4 linked regions of the Drosophila melanogaster genome follow. The protein of the gene in region 1 interacts with the protein of each later gene in a pairwise test. Each region holds a gene or a part of one and is shown in the gene's direction. Other genes may lie near its edges.

What was found.
Region 2: the proteins of CG15080 (region 1) and CG7730 interact in a two-hybrid assay, tested with the Drosophila melanogaster proteins (one large-scale study listed by BioGRID).
Region 3: the proteins of CG15080 (region 1) and Cpr100A interact in a two-hybrid assay, tested with the Drosophila melanogaster proteins (one large-scale study listed by BioGRID).
Region 4: the proteins of CG15080 (region 1) and Setd3 interact in a two-hybrid assay, tested with the Drosophila melanogaster proteins (one large-scale study listed by BioGRID).

The regions. Positions count from the first base shown.
Region 1 is NT_033778.4:18,781,605-18,786,320, forward strand, and holds the start of CG15080 (uncharacterized protein), read left to right. Parts: upstream 1-1,694; 5' UTR 1,695-2,074; intron 2,075-4,716.
Region 2 is NT_037436.4:17,025,912-17,030,372, forward strand, and holds CG7730 (uncharacterized protein), read left to right. Parts: upstream 1-1,603; 5' UTR 1,604-1,757; coding exon 1,758-1,858; intron 1,859-1,916; coding exon 1,917-2,796; intron 2,797-2,854; coding exon 2,855-3,006; intron 3,007-3,067; coding exon 3,068-3,680; 3' UTR 3,681-3,903; downstream 3,904-4,461. Other genes in the region: Fit2 (fermitin 2), read left to right, coding at 1-894; Ilp8 (Insulin-like peptide 8), read right to left, coding at 4,132-4,373.
Region 3 is NT_033777.3:30,865,893-30,869,727, forward strand, and holds Cpr100A (cuticular protein 100A), read left to right. Parts: upstream 1-1,628; 5' UTR 1,629-1,779; coding exon 1,780-1,791; intron 1,792-2,014; coding exon 2,015-2,262; intron 2,263-2,325; coding exon 2,326-2,791; 3' UTR 2,792-3,292; downstream 3,293-3,835.
Region 4 is NC_004354.4:6,965,741-6,970,529, reverse strand, and holds the start of Setd3 (SET domain containing 3), read left to right. Parts: upstream 1-1,779; 5' UTR 1,780-1,937; coding exon 1,938-2,806; exon of another isoform or gene 2,807-4,737; coding exon of another isoform or gene 4,738-4,789. Other genes in the region: CG4586 (uncharacterized protein), read right to left, coding at 1-512; CG14431 (uncharacterized protein), read right to left, coding at 4,738-4,789. UniProt on the Drosophila melanogaster protein: Protein-histidine N-methyltransferase that specifically mediates 3-methylhistidine (tele-methylhistidine) methylation of actin at 'His-74'.

The DNA.
Region 1 (4,716 bases):
TGGCAGCGCCACCTTGGGCGTGTGAGCCATTTCAGTGAGACACCTGTGAAAAGGTCAACGCTAATTGCCGTCCCCCAACCATTGGCTGCCAATTGAATTCGATTGAATTTGATTCTCTATCTGCGAGGCAGGTGAAAGTGCTTTGTTCTAGAAACAGAGTTGCAAGCCAACTAAATAACATTCAGCGGAAGTTCAAGACGCGAGTCGCGGTTGAATGATCTCCGAACGCCAAGAGATCCCGTCACATAACTTAGGCCATGAGGTGGAAACCTTCCTCGTACGTCATCAGTCCGCACATAACTCACGCCCACCTGAGGCGGCAGGTGAGGCACACGGACAGACAGGTGGGCAGGCGTTATGACAAGTTGACTGATTGGATTTGCGGCGACGATGTTGCTGCTCCTGTCAATGCACTCATCGCCCGTCGCAATTGCCGCTGGAAAATTGAAATTGAAAAAAAAATGCGATTGAAAAGCGTCCGAGCATCTCGTTTGGGTTACCCAATGCATAATGGATAATGGCGGACGCTGAACGATATGCTAATTAACTTGATTTCCACGATCCATAAACGTCTCACTTAGACAATTGTTTGCTTAACGGAAATTGTGCGGCTGCCGGCATGAGAATATTTTAATTGCCCCAAAAGAAGTTGAAAAAGACCTCTTTTTAAGGCCAATTCTAGCAGACCAAAGAAATATTTGGCAACAAGCTGAGCACAAAAATGTATTTTAAACACCAAAATATTATCTGGAAAATATTATAAAAAGATTTAAATATTTATTTCTACCTGCGCTACTTGATTGCAAACATTTCAACCACATATTTAATCCCAATTTCGCACTTTTTGTTATTATAGGTTTTATAAAGTTTGTAACCAATTTGTAACAAAAGAAATGCGGCAAAGGCCAGCGAAGAAAAAATGGTTTCTACGCGTTTTAATTGCTAAATGTCAATCGGTTTATAGGTTTCCTAACAAAACAAACAAAAATACGAGGAAACGCGTACGAGAGAAGAAAAAAAAACCAAAACAAACAATTCAATTAAACTCATAATGGAATTTGTGTAGCAAGAAAACGACCTTGGCTGCAGAGCAAAGCCTAAAAAGCCAATTAAAAGCTAGATGCACGGCTCGAATGCCACATGGCACTGAGTCAGAATTATGGAATTGTTGTTATGTCTGGCCATATAGCCGCACATATACACATATATCACATATATCAGCGAGGGGTGTAGCACGATTCATAAGACCCCCACACAGTCGGATCGATTTTCCCAGCAAATGTGGTAAAAACTTGTCGCCAGCAAAGATTGCAAAACTGGAACAGCATCGCCGCAACTAACGCTAAAACAAGTTAGCATTTATGGCCGACTTGATTTGCATTTAGTGCATTCTTGTGGACACTCCCCCTTGGCAAAACTCTATCCCCATCCCCGTTTTGTTAATTTCAATTAACCACAACAAATCATTGGAGGATCATTTTTAGCTAGGAGCTATACCGCTCTGTTTGACCAAGTCTTTTGTTGGCCCAAAAGCTGTTAAAGCCGCTTTAGTTGCGCCGTTAACGCTGACTGCGACTGCGCTGCCTACTGATCTGCTAACTGCTCGGCCAGCGTCGACTTCGACGGAGGCAGTTGGATGAAAACCACGAGCGAACCACTCTTACTTACTTTGGCCCGCGACGCTTTTCATTTCTTCAGTCTGTTAACGGCACGCCAACGATGCAGACGCGTCTAAAAACCAGCTCCGGCTAACTGTTAACGCAAGATAGTAATAACTTGATTTGTAAGTGTAACACTCATACGCATCGAGTATACGCACAGTGGTACCAACGACATTTGATTTTGCATCTTTTGCCGAAAGTGCGTGAGCTTCCTGACGTCTCAAGTGGATAAAGTCAAAGTGAATTTCAAGAAATCGAAAATATAATTAATATACAAAAATAAAAGTAAAACGCTTGAATTGCTGCTAATTTGGCGAGTTGGGCAAGTTAGGATCTTAATTAAATTAAGCCAAGTGAAAGAGAAACAACAGCTGCCGTTCAGGAAGAAGAAGAAGAAGCAATAGAGGAGAGTGGTAAGTGGGGTTTTTATTTTTTATTTATTTTATTTTTTTTTTTTTTTTGCCAAAAAAGGCGAATAGAAATTTCAGCTCTCCATTCAACTAACCACACACTCAACGCATTCGACTGTCTTGGCAATTTTGCTGTTTATTTTTTCATGCTCTAATTATTTGGAAATTTCATTTTGTTTTTGCCCACCGACACTCGTTAACTGGCATGCAATTTGTTTGCCCAAAGACTTATGGACCATACATCTAACCAAAACAACCGTCCATCCTCTAGAGAGTCAAGTTGAGTCAAGCTTTATGGGCAGACTTCCTCGTTAAAAGATAAGGTGGCCAGACCCCTGACCAAAAGAAAAGAAACTGGTCCATCAGTATTCTGTGGGTTCGTTTTGGGTTTTTCATCTACATCTCTAAGTCTATCTCCATTGCCACTTCATTAACCCAATTTTCACCTGGAGAAATTTTATGTTTCGTACAAGAAAAATCTTGTTTATCAGGCCAATTTGCATACAGACCCCACTTCCGAGGGCCAGACATTTCTCTTCCCTAATCTTCGATGTGGCATCTGATCTTTAACGGAACTAATGTGTACACTTATTCGTTTGTTTGTCATTTTAACATGAGGGCAAACAGAAGAGGGAAATCATAAATTACGCCGTAGCGTCTTATTCGTTTTATATATGTATTTCTTTATTTATATTTATGCGAACTTTGTTTTTTTTTTTATGTGCGAGCGGACAGCGTTTTCGAAATTAAATACTTTCTAATTACAATAAACGCAGGCGATGGCCGCCGGCCGGCCAATTGCCTGTCGCACGTCCAGCAAAGTCCATATCGTAGCCTTTGGCAACGGGCTGAAATCACGTAGCCGCCGCATCGGCCAATGCCAGCCGATATAAAAGAGGGATGGGTTGGCAGCGGAGTGGTGAGGGGGGAAGTGGCGAAACAAAACTCGCGAAAGTGTCAAGAAAATATAATACTGCTCAGACTCACTTTTTCTTTATTGTCATGTCTTAATGTGGCGCCTGATGTGTTTATTTGCCACTAGCCTCCTCCGCCGCCAATTCATATTCCTACCCCTCCCTCACCTTCCTCCGATGAAAGTGAAACGTGCGAATGACTTTGCGTAGCTGCAGAAGCTTCCATCACTCGTCACTTAGCACGTGCCCAGCGATCCTACCCGTGTGGTCTTCGTCTTTCACGGCTTTCAATTACTCAACCGCATAATGTTCAATTTGTCAAGCGTTGAGCCCGGATTACGACTTTCTCAGCGGGCCAAACAAAAGACTTAAGACACAAACTTGCTTCATTAGTTGGCTTTGTTCGATGGAATGCGTTGCAGATCCTAATGCGCACAAGTTTTGGTGTTGATTACTCACGAATTGAGAAATCAATGCAACCATACCTTTGTTTATATTACAACTTAAATTATCCCAGATGATTTAGCCATACCAAAGAGAATTTCAATTTCAAAGATCAATATCGAATATGCCCAGCGGTCTTTCAAAACCATAATTATCTCGCACTAGTGACACGCACTGAATTCTAAATGTGAGTAATTGCAATGCATTCAGCAATATCAGATTCAAAGTGCATTTAAGCGGAGGTAAAAACTAAAAAATCAATTCAAATGGCTTCCAGGCCGGGCATTTATTGCTGGTTCGCTGGAACTAAATCGTGATTTGCAGTTGCATGTACGGCCTCCGTAAGACCCCCTGATCCTCCTTCGGCACCCCTGGAATACCCACACAGTTGATTAGTCAGCACCCGGCTGGTAGAGCAAGGCAACCATTTGGGGCTTTTTGCTCCGTTTTGTCTCTGTGTTTTCCTTCTAGACCGACAAGTTGAAGTATCTTGGCCTACTGAATTTTTTCTCACACTCCGTGTCTTGGTCACGGATGTGGATTGATTGCTAATGTTCATCTGGGCACATATATATCTGTATATATGTATATATATCTATCTGCGGCAGGCGGTTTATGTGGATACCCTCGCCAAGTTGCCGAGTTGCACAAGTCTGGTTTGGTCTGGGCCAGAATGAGGCCCACACTCGAGACGTGGCCAACAAGTACGGGTACTTGTGGCTATACATTTGCCGAGCCACTCTTGCTTTCTTCAGCTGCTCCATTTGGCGGCTGCTTTGTTTTGTCAGCGCTTGCTTTATGGTTTTTCATATATATAGAGTAGCTACTAGCAGCTACCTTAAGTATTGCTCTGTTGCAATTGTCACATTGTTTTGGGACACTTTTCTGCGGCTCAGTGGCGACGACGACTGTGGCAATAGTTTTGTAATTAGCTTGGCCCATCATTTGCGCAATTCGATTTGCGATGTCCCAGGTGATAAGTGATATTTAAGGCACTAATTTCGCTTGTATCCGGTTATCCGGCTTTTATTACGAGTTGCGCAACCACAGCGCCCCCGCATACCAAAATGTCGAGGGAGAAATACTTTCGCTTTCAAATGCTCGAGCATAAATTCTTGGGATTACGCAAGCTAAATGCTTGCGGCATGTTTTGGTTTGCTGAGCAGGTGCCGCCAATACCAAACCAAAACCAAAAAGCCACCTCCACCAGCTAAACAGCCACTTACCTCATTTGGAAAGCAGCGAGAAATGAAAGTTTTTGTTTTTTCATTTTTCTGCGTTGCGTGA
Region 2 (4,461 bases), on another chromosome or scaffold:
CCGCAAAGATTCACGCTGCGCGGCTATAAGCGCTACTACTTCACCTATCGGGATCTGCATTTGCATCTGTTCAAGAACGCCGAAGATTCGCGACGTGTTGCGCCTGCCATAAGCATTAACCTGAAGGGCTGCGAAGTAACTCCGGATGTAAACCTGTCCCAGGGAAAGTATGCTATCCGGCTGGAGGTCTCTCCTGATGGTGGCCACGGTATCAACAGTGAGGTGTGGGTGCGCTGCGAGAACGAGCAGCAGTACGCCAAGTGGATGGCTGCTTGTCGTTTGGCGGCCAAGGGAAGATCCCTGGCGGATAGCTCGTACGAGAGTGAAGTGGACAGCATACTCTCGCTACTGCAGATGCAGCGACCCGCACACGGAGTTCATGTAAACATCGATCCTCGCTCTGTGGAAGCAGTTGATTATCTGTCGCCCAAGATCATCCGCAAGTTGTCGAACAAGGCAGTCCAGCGGATCCTCGAAGCACATGCCAACGTTCGGGAGCTGAATGCTTTAGATTCAAAACTGAAGTACATCCAGGCATGGCGTTCGTTACCTGACTTTGGAGTAAGCCTGTTCATCATTAAGTTCGACGGGCATCGGAAGGAGGAGCTGCTCGGCGTGGCCCACAACCGCATTATGCGCATGGATCTGAGTTCGGGAGATCACATCAAGACCTGGCGATATAACACCATGAAGGCGTGGAACGTCAACTGGAACATAAAGTGCATGATGATTCAGTTTGAAGACGAGAATGTGGTCTTCTCCTGCCACTCAGCCGACTGTAAAGTGGTGCACGAGTTCATCGGTGGTTACATTTTCATGTCCATGCGATCCAAGGACACCAACCAGACCCTGAACGAGGAGCTTTTCCACAAACTTACCGGCGGCTGGTCCTAGTACCATTTATTGCTCGATTTTAATGGCAGGCAGTTTCAATTGTTCGAATTTTGTTAAGATAAACCACTGTTTTAACTGATAACCAACTGATAGACTCACAACTTCAATGCAATACATGTATTTAATTTCACTTTATTTACCTTTTAACTCGTTGTTAACTAATCTTGTTGATGATTTTTCACCACGAAAATCGCTTGCCAATGGCCTTTTTGCCTGCCCAACACCTAATTAGACTTAACCGTGGCCTTAGCAATGTTTTTGTATAACTAACTCTTAAGTGTATATTTAAATAAAAATCCCATATTAAAATTCAACTATTGCTTGGGTATTGGACTTTTCGGGGACACTAGTAGATTTTTTGAGGTTAAAATATTAAATTACTGAGGTCAGTAAAGGTCATTAAAAGAGTAATTTACTGATAGTCCAAAAATATTAAACTTGTTCAGTAAAACATGGCAATTAAAAGTTAAGTAAAATAATTATTAGGTACCAAGTGGATCAAAGACCAAGGAAAACTGTGGATCGCGAAATAAGTTTTAATTTAGAACTATTACTACTTGAAAGAATTACTATTGATTGAAAAAGTTTTGAACCGAATTTCTATGGCATTAATAGATTTGAGATTTAAAATAATATTGTCAAAATGTATCATTTAAAATTACGCGGTATCGATTGATAAACTTATATCGTGAAGCTTAATCGATTAGCTCTCGATAATTTGGCGCCAGCTTTGTTGAATTGTCATGGAAACGAAATTAGCATTTCGACATTGATTTCCCATTAAAATACAGTCTCTAAATTAAAGTAAGTATATTTAACTTGGGCTGCAGATCAAAAGTGCCAGATTCTGCAGTAATTAGGATATGGAGAAAACGGAAAATACTAAAAATTCTCGCACCACCTACGAAGTGCAAAGGGATTTTGGCTTCAGCAGTGGGCTGCGTTCGGAAATTATTTGGGATTCGTATGTTATGCAATTACTTAAATCATCGTACCTGGCTAAACTATATTTATACCCACAGACTAGCCCCGGATCAGGGTGATGTTCTAAAGCAAAAGATAGAGAACCTCATTCGCGATGATGACGCCCGCAATGGCAAGGCGATTCAACGAAAGCGGGAGCAGCTTTTCCGGAATATTTGGCAGCAGCGCTGTTACACCAACGGCACATTGCTCTCCGCCATAATTTACGTGCTAGTCACGCCGGATACAGACCCGGAATCGGCGCTGCAGTCTACCAACTACTCCTGTCACCCGGTTTTTCGCACACGGCGCTGTTTGAAGGGCGAGAACAGCGCCGCTTGTTGCATGATTTTTGTGGACGAAAATGCACGGGTCTACGCCAATTGGGAGCAGTTCGTCTTCCGGAACACCTTGCCCAAGGGCTTGATGATCGCCCCTAGCCAAGGAATTTACACATTCACCGGCGACGAGGAGCCGGGCGTCCAGTTGATGGTCCATCCAACGCCAGCAGCACGTGCCAGGTATAAAATTCTGAATGCTGGCGATAAAGTCGCCACTGTTGGTAGCTTGGTGGCCAGTGTTCCGGCGGCTGCAGCTTTGGCTGTGCCTCTGGGCGCTCCGCTCGCGATTGCCGCCACCGCTGTGGGCGTGGCCACCGGAGTCTACAGCACCCTGCGCTCTGCCTCCCATCTTATCGATCGTCGACGGCACGGACAGTCCACCTGCATCACGGATACCGAGGCACGCAGCTCTTGGTTGGGCGTAGCAGGTGGCGTTGTGGGTCTAGGAGCCAGTGGGGCCACAAAAGCTCTGTCCACCGCTGCAGGAGCTGGCTACAAAGTTAATCCCGCTGCGCAGTTAGCCGTTAGGGGGATAAATGGTGCCTCAATGGTCATCGCCGGAACGGGTGTAGCGAATGGTGTTTACGATTTATATTCGGTAAGTTGGATCCTTTAAAAAAGACATTAATTTTATAACTTCGTTTCGACCTCCTCAGAAACATGGAGATGACCAAGCCATAAACAGCTTGGACATGCTGAAGATGGCCTCGCACCTTGTGATATTCACTCATTCCATCAACAATATGCGCATCGCTTCCAAGGCTACCAACGGGTCTTCCTTGAGGCGAGCACTTCGAAATCAATCCAGGCAAGTCAATACCTCCTGGCAGTCACATATATAGTATTCTTCATCATTTTTGTATCAACAGAAAAATCTTTGATCGAATCTCCCAGGAAACAGTTAAGCTGCACAATGAATCTGGTCAATTTGATATTGTGAGAACCCTCAACGAAATCCCTTTTAAGGAGGTACTCCTCAGTCTTCACAATATGAACTCACACCTAAGTCAGGGACTTACAGTGGCCACCACTTTATTGCCCCAAATACTGAGTTACGGCATTGGCGGGCAGATGGTGATCAATATGGACATGCTCGCACAGAAGTTCGGCGGAAAATTCGTTGAGCATATCGGCAATCTGGCTAGCTTTACGGACGTTTTGGAGGCCATGGCCAGATACTTCAGCGATCAGGCTGTACAGCTTCTAATGCAGATGACCCGCACATTCGTAGAGGAGAACGTGGATTACATTGATCGCTCGCTGAATACGTTCGTATCAACTGAAGCGGTCCTCTATCGCATTCTAATGCATTGCGTTAAAACCTTTGATGACTTCGGCGAAGATTTCCTTCAGAGACAACGTGAGGATATTTTGATGGTGGTATCCAAGTACTTTCGATCACTGGAGCCAGTTGGCGAACAAAACTGCCGCAAGTACAAATGCAACGTTTGCAAAGGCGCCTACTATATTAGTTCCATATAAGCTGATTCCATGGTTCGAGCTGTCGGTTTATTAAGTGATTTAGTGATTAATAGATTGTGATACAACAAAGATTTGTTAGCCATCGTGACTCATTTGTACTAGGATTGTAATAATCTTTTAAGCCTTTATATGCGTCTTCTAAACCTAATATGCTGTTAAATTCTCTGAATGTTTGTTTAGTTTTAACTGTCCACCAATTTTTATAAAAAACACTTTAATTCCGATCAGTTGCCGTATTCGATTGTTTATTCAAAATCGATCTAAGTGTATAAATACTGTAAATGGATCTGTGTCCCTGGGAGTGGGCACAAATAAGGTACTCTATAAGAGTGAGCGCGACTTGTAGAATGTACATGAATAGCCTAACTATAACTATGGACGGATTCAGAAGATTCTGACCAGATGGCACCGACTTGGAGCGTGGGGCATGGAGCATGACACTGGAGCTCTCTTAGCAGAAGAACTCCTCCTCGCACTGGTTTAGACAGCAGTAGGGAATGTTGTTGTAGGACCTGCTCGAGTGATCCCTCTTGAAGCGATGCTTCTTTTCGTGGTGCGGCTTGATGGGCTTGTAGCGCGGAAAGATGTCCAGTTCGCTGAGGCGATTGAAGTGCTCCCGGGTCACCTTCAGGTAGCCACCCATTGGATAGCTGCTTCGGCTGATGTAGTGATGCTTGTTGTGCGTTTTGCCGGCTGAAAAGGGGGAAAACGTTGCCAGTGAGCAAATTGATCTTGAACCTGCGCCTTGAAGTCGGTTAACTTTTGCATCGGAACTGCTTTA
Region 3 (3,835 bases), on another chromosome or scaffold:
CGGAACTATATGCCATAGCTGCAGTTTCCTGTTGTTGTTTGTCAACTGATTTAATTTCCTCCTCCTTTTACCGCTTTCTGCTCTGATCACCGCCTCCTGCTGCGAGAGGGCGTTCTCCGCTTTTGGCCACACAAACAAGACCGCCGGATAATGACGATGGTAATGATGATGGCGATGTTCAGACGATGGCGACTTGCAAAAGGGCAAATAACGGTGTAAATGAGAGTGTTGCTACTCGAAATCTTCGACCCCATGCGGCTACTTTGTGTGCAAGAGTGTGCCGCTGTGTGGAAATCGCTCATTAAAATATGAAAACCCGATTTGCATACATAAATGCTCTAATTCTCTTTACGTTCAATTTTAGGGCTTAAGAAAAATTCTTTAAAATTAAAATGAATATCGATATAGATAATGTAATGTTAATTTGACTCTAGATATAAAACTTCAAATAACCAAAGTTGGAGATGCAGACCTGTTTGCATTGTTAGATCATAAATAATGCCAAAAGTTCTCTGCAAACATTACGCAAAGTGGGGGGCGTGGGAGTGGGCGTGTGGCATGTGGGTGGGCGGCCAACTGCTTTGGCCATAAACAAGCCCAAACAATGCCAGACATTTCAAACACAATAAATAATTGAAGCCAGCGCAGAGTCAACAAGTCAAACACATTGCGGTAACACTGGCGATTGTTGCCAAGCGCTTTTGGCCACACCACAAAGTCCAGCTTTTCAGTCCGATCTAGATATAAATCAACTTGGCCATGCACATGCAGAACGCAAATCCAGCTAAAAGGCAAACAAACGGCTTTACAACTTTACAACTTGAAGAGGGGAGTGAAAAGTTAACAACGCTCATTTGGCGAATTTCCCAAGATATGTTCGGATTTTCAGCAGAGGGCGACCGCCCAGTTATCCATCACAATCGACAGTTTCCACGGGCTTTTCACACTGGAAAAATCAAAAAGACAATAAAGACGAGGCTTTTGCCAATTTCTTCCACAGGGTGTTGTAGTTACTTTCTATTTCTGTTTTTTAGCTTAGGCCAACATTATTGGCATACAATACTATTATTCAATCTATTTTATATCCCGTTTTATTTGTATTTTCCATACATTTTCCTTTTTTCCTACTCTTAAACTAAACTATTGCCATTAAAATTGCATCATGCTCTGCAGAACTAATTGGTAATTCCTGGTTTCGATAGATCCCCTCCCAGATGAGGATACCTCTGCGCTGAGGCTGGATTACAGCTGAAAAACTTTTGAAATAATTAAAAAATATTTTCGTCTTGGGCTTGGGCCTGGTGCAGGCAGAAACGGTGGAACTAAGTGCATATAGCATATATTCGTATATATAGAAAGCAAAAGTTGGCGCTCCAAGCGAAAGAGATCGAAACTGGTAAAACGACTTGGCAACACGACCGCGATACCAATACTCGCCCAAAGTTGACTTATTGGAGCACTTAGCTCGATTCTTGTTATTGTTACGCCGACTTGGCCGACTTGTTGTTGCCGTTAACGTTAATAGTACCAACACAATTACATAGCTTGGAGTGCCTAGGCGGAGTCGATCGGCGATCCAGCGATCCAAGGTTCCCGCTCGGACTATAAAAAGCTTGGGCGGCACCGTTGCGGAAGGCAGTTAACTCCACAAATCCGTTGCCGTCGGTCCCATTTCCCTCTTAACCGACTTGTAAGCGTAAAGGCGCGTGTGAATCCCCCTCGAGAAGAAGATAAAATTGTGTGCAGTTTACGCTTGACAAGGATATTCCCCACACCAAAATGTTCAGATTTGTGAGTTGTGTTTTATTCAAGGCTGTTCGAACAATTTAAAAGCTATTAAGAGAAAAGTAATCAAACTGACGGACAAAAGTGTCAATTCAAACCAGGATATTCTAGAGTACACATTAAATAGTGAAAGTCTTACCTTATAATACGTTAAGTGATAATGACTCAGATTAAGGAATTGGCAGCACACAAATACTTGATTGTACAATAAATTTTGAATTCTTGACAGCTTGCACTGACCACCTTGGTGGCCCTGGCTTCCAGCCAGCACTATCACCAGGATCCCAAAACGGCGGCCATCATCAGTGAGCAGCGTTATCTGTCCGGAGATGGAAAGTTCGGAGCTGCCTATGAGCAGGAGGATGGCATCAACTTCAAGGAGGAGACGGATGCGGATGGAACACGTCATGGCAGCTACAGCTATCTGGATCCCACGGGCCAGAGGCGTACTATTTCGTACACAGCTGGCAAAAATGGGTAAGCACTTTCTATAGAACAAATACCCGAACTTGTATTAATTTGGTTTTTATTCCGAAATAGTTTCCAAGCTTCTGGAGATCACTTGCCCCAGGCACCACCTGCTCCACCACAGCCCGTGCCCACAGCGGGATATCAGCCACAGCAGCAGTACCAGCCGCAGCAGTACCAGGCTCCCGCTCCCCAGCCGCAGGCCAGTTTCCGCAGCAATGACTACGGAGATGATGGTTCCTACGATCCCCGCTACAACGATCCCTCTTTCGGACAGAACCAGCAGAGCTACCAGCAGCCCGCTGCCCAGCCGCAGTACCGTCCTGCTCCCCAGCCCGCCTACAACCCACAGCCCGTGCAGCCGCAGCAGCAGTACCAGCCTCAGTATCAGCAGCCCCAACCCCAGTATCAGCAGCCGCAACCCCAGCAGGCGTACTACACCACCACCACCCCCAACCCACACCGCTTTTCGCCACCCGGCAAACTGTCCCTGAACCGCACGCCCGATGGCTTCACCTACTCCTTCAACAAGGTATAAGCCCCACTGTCCTCCACTCAGACATTATGCATCTTCTTCATTAGTAGGGATCCTCTTTCTTCTTTTCCAACTTTCCCTATCACAACTAGAACCCCTACTCTTTTCTTGACTCCATCAAACTCTCGTGTGATATGTTTAAGAGCAATTGTATCGTACTTCCTATATGCGTACTGTTTGTTATTAATTTATAATCCTACACAGAGAAAATTAATCGCTGCTGCCCAATGGGTATTGCTGATTTAAATTACAAAATATATTCAAAATATCATTTGCATATTTTTGAAATATGAAAAAACTCAAGAAATGTCGGCCTTTTTCTCTGTGACTTTCCCATTAAACTTTAATCTTTCCATTTAAGTCTTCCCAAGAAAAGAGAAGTCAATAAACTTCGATGATGTTGAAAAATGATCAAAATTAATTTAGAAACTATGTTAATTTGGGCCTTGGGACGTCTGAGCAATTTGTACTATAATCGAGTAAAAACAATATATGAAGGAAACCAAGTTCGTGTCCTGCAGTCTTTTGTTTTTCGGCCAGTGGCCGCTTATTTAATTTCCAGCAGATTTATCTAAACACCTCGGGTGGTGAACGCCCACTAAATGCGGCATTACACAACCGACTTTCGTACGTGCAAAACAAGTTTCGAGTTTCTGTTACGATTCTATGCGGCCAACAAGGAAAGACCTCAAACGGGTTTCGCTCATTTGACAGTAATCTTGGCCAATTGTGCAAAATTCCGATGAAAATGAAATCAGCCTGGTGTGCTGGTGCTGGCTAAGCCGGAAAACCATGTGCAAGTGGGGGTGGCACTGGTTCATTAGGGGATTGGGGCTCTAAATCAATTCCCAATGGTATTGCGATCCGTCAGGCTCCAGTTGCGTTAGTGCAACTTAATAACATCCAAATGTTTTGCATATTTTATGCACCATCGAACGCAAGAATGCCGCCAGCTAATTTGCTATTTCCTCTCACCTGCTGAGTTCTCAGCATATGTGTGTTATAGTTTACAACTTAATTCGAGCACCGATTGCTATTCTATTATTT
Region 4 (4,789 bases), on another chromosome or scaffold:
CGGGTTTCCAGGCCCCGGACAAAGGTGCCGTGACCCAGCTCCGTTTGCGCATAGGTGCCCAGGACGCCGTCCATGTGCCAGGATCGATTGAGCCACTGGGCCTGCTGCTCCTCGGTTCCCTGGCTCAGCAAGGTGGTCATGAACATGGAGAAATGCACCCGAAGGGGGAAGCTCTGCTGGAAGAGGCCCGTGCCCAGGGATCCGGAGAGTAGCAGCCGAAAGTCCCTCAGCATATTCACACTAAGCTGAAGTTGTGGCTGCTTCTCCCGCTGCCATTGGCGCAGTTTGGCCAGGAAGCGTGTGGATCGGGCCACGGTCTGTTCGTAGCGCTCCTTGTATGACAGACAGCTCGGATGCACTGGCTCCGCGAAGTCGGGATCCTCATAGAAACGCCTTTCCAGGGCGCGGCGCTCCTCCAGCTGCCCAGAGCCACCCGCCCACCAGCGGGCAAAGTCCTCGCTGTCCAAGGTGGCCGCCGCCCGCTCTCTCTGCAGATCCGCATTCACAGACATGATCGCTCTATCTCTCCTTCCCGATCTCTCTTTTCCTAGAGTTTTACTTTTCTACGGGATTTCCCAACTTCTCTGCTCGAACGACTCGATTGCACTGAGAAGTTGGTGGCTGGAAGAAACAGTTCTGCAGCTCGAAACATGGCAGCCAGGTCACCAAAGGCGGGGATAGCAGGGGAATATGGTTGGTTATCAGTGATCCGAAATTAAAGATGAGTTGCCAATTAATATACCGGGATTCTTTATACATTTACCACATTATACTCATAAAGGATGCAGTGTATAAGCTATTTATGGATAACTTATACAGAAGAGGCGATCTGGAACCCCTTTGGATGGTCCATCCTGCCTACGCCTTTGGAGCCCCACCACTGCCTCTCTTTCGCGCTCTGCCCGCTGGTGCTCCAACCGCCGTTGTTGCTGCATTGGAGTCACTGAACTGAGAACTGAGCCACTCTCAAATTGCTTGAGCGCCTTAGGGTGGACCATATTCCGTATTTGTCGAAAGTTTCTCAAACTGCGTCTTTCTTACAAGATGCACTTATCATGTTTTAGATTTCGTATCCTAGGTTGTATATTTGGACGGAATTTGTTTCTTACTATTAACTCAAACGCTGATTTGTGTGTTGGTCCACCCTAGCCAAAAATGGCACAAAGTGCGTAAACATCTGATGAGCGGCATTATCTCCTAGTTTTTTAGTTCAAGTTTTTTTTACCGTAGATAAGAAAATCGTAAATATTTCTTGTTGTTTTTGTTTTGCAAAAACCCACAAAGCTCAACAAACAATTATTTCTTTTTCGTACAATAACATTTTTATTTCGTGGATTTCTTGTTATCAACATAACGTTTCTCAATTGGATGACGTTTAGAAAATCTAAGATAACCCTATGGGCCATTGTCAAATTGTTTATAAATAGAAACTAAAAGACATGGAAAGAGCGATTTTATTTATATAAATAAATAAATATATTATTATACATACGAGCTTCTGCAACCTGGATTTTAGGACAAATTCTCAATTTAAATTTCCCGCTCTTCAAGAATGCAACATAAAATATAAAAAAACACTGGCCATTTTAATAACTATAAAGAGTAATTATTATAATATTATTGATGTGCCAAAAATGCAACGTGAATTACAATTTATTTTACAAGAAAACATAAGTTTTGTAATAAAAAAAAGCTTAGGAGTACCCCTATTAAAAAGTTTTCAGCATAAAAGCTCGTCGAATGTGTGACCAATTGTCGGAGTAATTTAGTGGCGCCCGACGAATGGCCACACTGCCGGCCAGCTGATCGCCCGCGTGCAGATTTCTCGACTTTATTTTCCTTATTTGGCTGTTGTTGTTTTGGGCCGCCGGTACCGCTTAGCTTTCTGTCTTCCTCTCTCTCTGTCTTTCTCTCTCGCTCCCACCAACGGCACCGCCATGGGTAAGAACACGAAGCGCAACAAGAAGACAAAACAGCAGCAACAGCAGCCACAACAAAACGGAGTAACTGCATCCGCATCCGGCACAGCAGTCGAGGATTTTGAGGACCAGCAGGCGGCCAGTTCGTTGCCCAGTTTAAACGGCAAAAAGAGGAGCCAACTAAACAAGCTCGTCGAGGAACTGCTTGACTTGGTGGAAAAGCAACCGGCGAATCCCAACGAGGAATGGAAGCAGTACGGGCAGCTACAGGAGCTGCTCAAACAAATCATGATCCTGGAGGAGCCACTCAGCCAAGCAGTGTGTCCGCAGATCAGCGATTCCCCCGACGATCAGACCCGTCTGGCCAAAGTGGAGGCGTTCAGTGCGTGGGCCAAAGATGGCGGAGTTCACAGTGAGGGACTGGAGATAGCCATCTTTCCCGGCTACCAACTGGGTCTGCGGGCCACCCGACCGTTGGCCAAGGATGAGCTGGTGCTCAGCGTGCCCCGGAAGCTCATCTTATCCGAGGAAAACAACTCCGATTGCCGCCTATTTGGCAAAATGACGCAGGCCACCCACTTGAACCTGGCCTATGATCTGGTCATCGAGAAGATCCGTGGCGAGTTCAGCGAGTGGCGGCCCTACATTGATGTTCTGCCTGCCAAATACAACACCGTGCTATACTTTACCACCAAGCAGATGGAGCTCCTCCGGGGCACCGCTGCAGCCGCTCTGGCAATGCGTCAGTGTCGCGTCATCGCCAAGCAGTACGCCTTCCTCTACAAGTACGCCCACACCATGACTGAGCCGAGCACCGGGAACAGGAGCCATCCGGGCGAAAGAGGCCTCTTTTTCACGCAGCACGGACTCTGCTACAAGCTATACAGGTGAGTTTCGATTGAGATTTGGGATTGCAATAAAGGTGCTAAAGGTGCCTTAAAAAAATATCGCTACTTTTAAAGTTTGTTCTACTAAGTTTAAGAAGAAATATGATTCTGTGCTAAAAAGATGGCTTAAGGCCAAGTTTTCTGCTCTGAAGATCTTTTCAGTTGGCCTAGAAATAGAAATATTGTATACCTTTCCGGAATTCCATTTTTAAATCCTGCCCTCGTGTTGATCTTTCCCTAAGTGTGTTTTTCGGTTTAGTTTGGGCTTGTTTTTGCTGCAGAGAGGCCTCTGAATCTGCCAGTTGTCCCACTGGCCATAAATTACATGTTCACTTACAGCTGGTGCTGTTTGTTTTAAAGCGAGAGTAGATGCATATGGCCAGATTGCCCGACCATTGTTGACCTTCCCGTCTGGCATTGTGATCGCATTGTTTTGCCGAAGATCTACGATCTATTTACGGATCCGCTTCCACTTGCGACGGCTGGGTCATGGTGCACTGGGATGGGTCTGGTTGTGGTTGTGGTTCTGGTTCTCCACTCGCTTCTGTATTTATAGTGCCGCGATTTCGACACCAATCTTCGGTTGTGGTCGAAAACCCCAGCGAGTCATGCGGTTAGTCAAGTGCTTTCGAAATGCTTGAAATCTTTGCCACAATTTGTTCTACATTTTATTTCTCAAAAAAATCAAATTGAAACTTATTTACATACATATTTGAGCGTGCTTAAATATATAATTATATTTATATATATAAATATATATATATATATATATATACTGTCGCCAGATGTTCTACTGCCTAGTGAGAGGGGCGGGGGTGGTAACGAAAATCAAATCAAAAATAAAGTGCCTGCACTACGAAATAAATACAGGTGTTTCATCTATTTTCACTTCTTGGTTTTTGCAGTACATTTTGCGCATTTAAAATATTAGTGTTGTTGTTGTTGTTGCTGTTGGTATTGTTGTGCTAATGACCACGCCCACATAGCGCCCATTTATGCCTTGCCTTGATCTAAATTCAATTAAATTTTGGTATTTTAGTCAGTGCCAGAAAGAAGTTTGCTTCAGTTAAATCGTATCGAACACAGTTTTCTTCATTTTCTTTTGGTTTTTATTTATTTTGTTTTCGTAATTTCCTCATTAATATTTATTGTCCTCATAAATGGTTTTATTTTGCTTTCTCGAATTTCAATATTTATTCGATTTGGGCCTTTTTTTGGGAAAGTGTCTGAACACAACTGTACCTTGTTTGGCTAAGATCCTGTTCTGTTGTTCTGTATTTAAGTTAGTTTTCGTCTTTATCTCGTGCTAAGAAACCCATTTGAATGCCGTGTCCTATGATTTAGTTGATAGAGTCGCGTTAGTTGATGGATCATAATCGTACATTAGGTCTAGATAGTTGGAAACGATAGTTTGCCGAGCTTAGAGACTAGCAACAGTGCGCGCCATAAACGTAGGGCGGATTGAACTAGGTTTTGCGGTCTACAACGATACAAATGAATCAGAAAATAAATAAAGTAAAAATAAATAACATAAAGTGGACTATACAGTTTACATTCCAATCTGTCATGAAAATATTTAAAAATGAACACTATTCTTTTTAAACTGTATGTCTGCACAATCTTTTTGAACCTTTTCTTACAAAGCGCCTTATGGCCATGCCACGCACTGTCTAAATGTGTTTTCTAGGTTGGTTTTTTGTTAGTTTTACTTTCTCTCACAGAATGTTCCTCTAATCGAGTTCAAAAAAATTCCACCTCCTACCTGCTTAAACTAATTAATCGACTAACTTTTGCTCCTTCGCGTTAGAGTGTGTATGCTTGTGTGTGTTGGGGGGATGTCATTGTGTGTGTGTGTGTGTTAAGTGTACATTTATATAAAACTTGGCCTAAACAACGGTCTATTGTTACTAGAGGAGCCTACTGCCTATTGCCTAATTGTCGAAGGATTTGCGCAGTGTGTCGAATAGATATTCCTGCACCTCC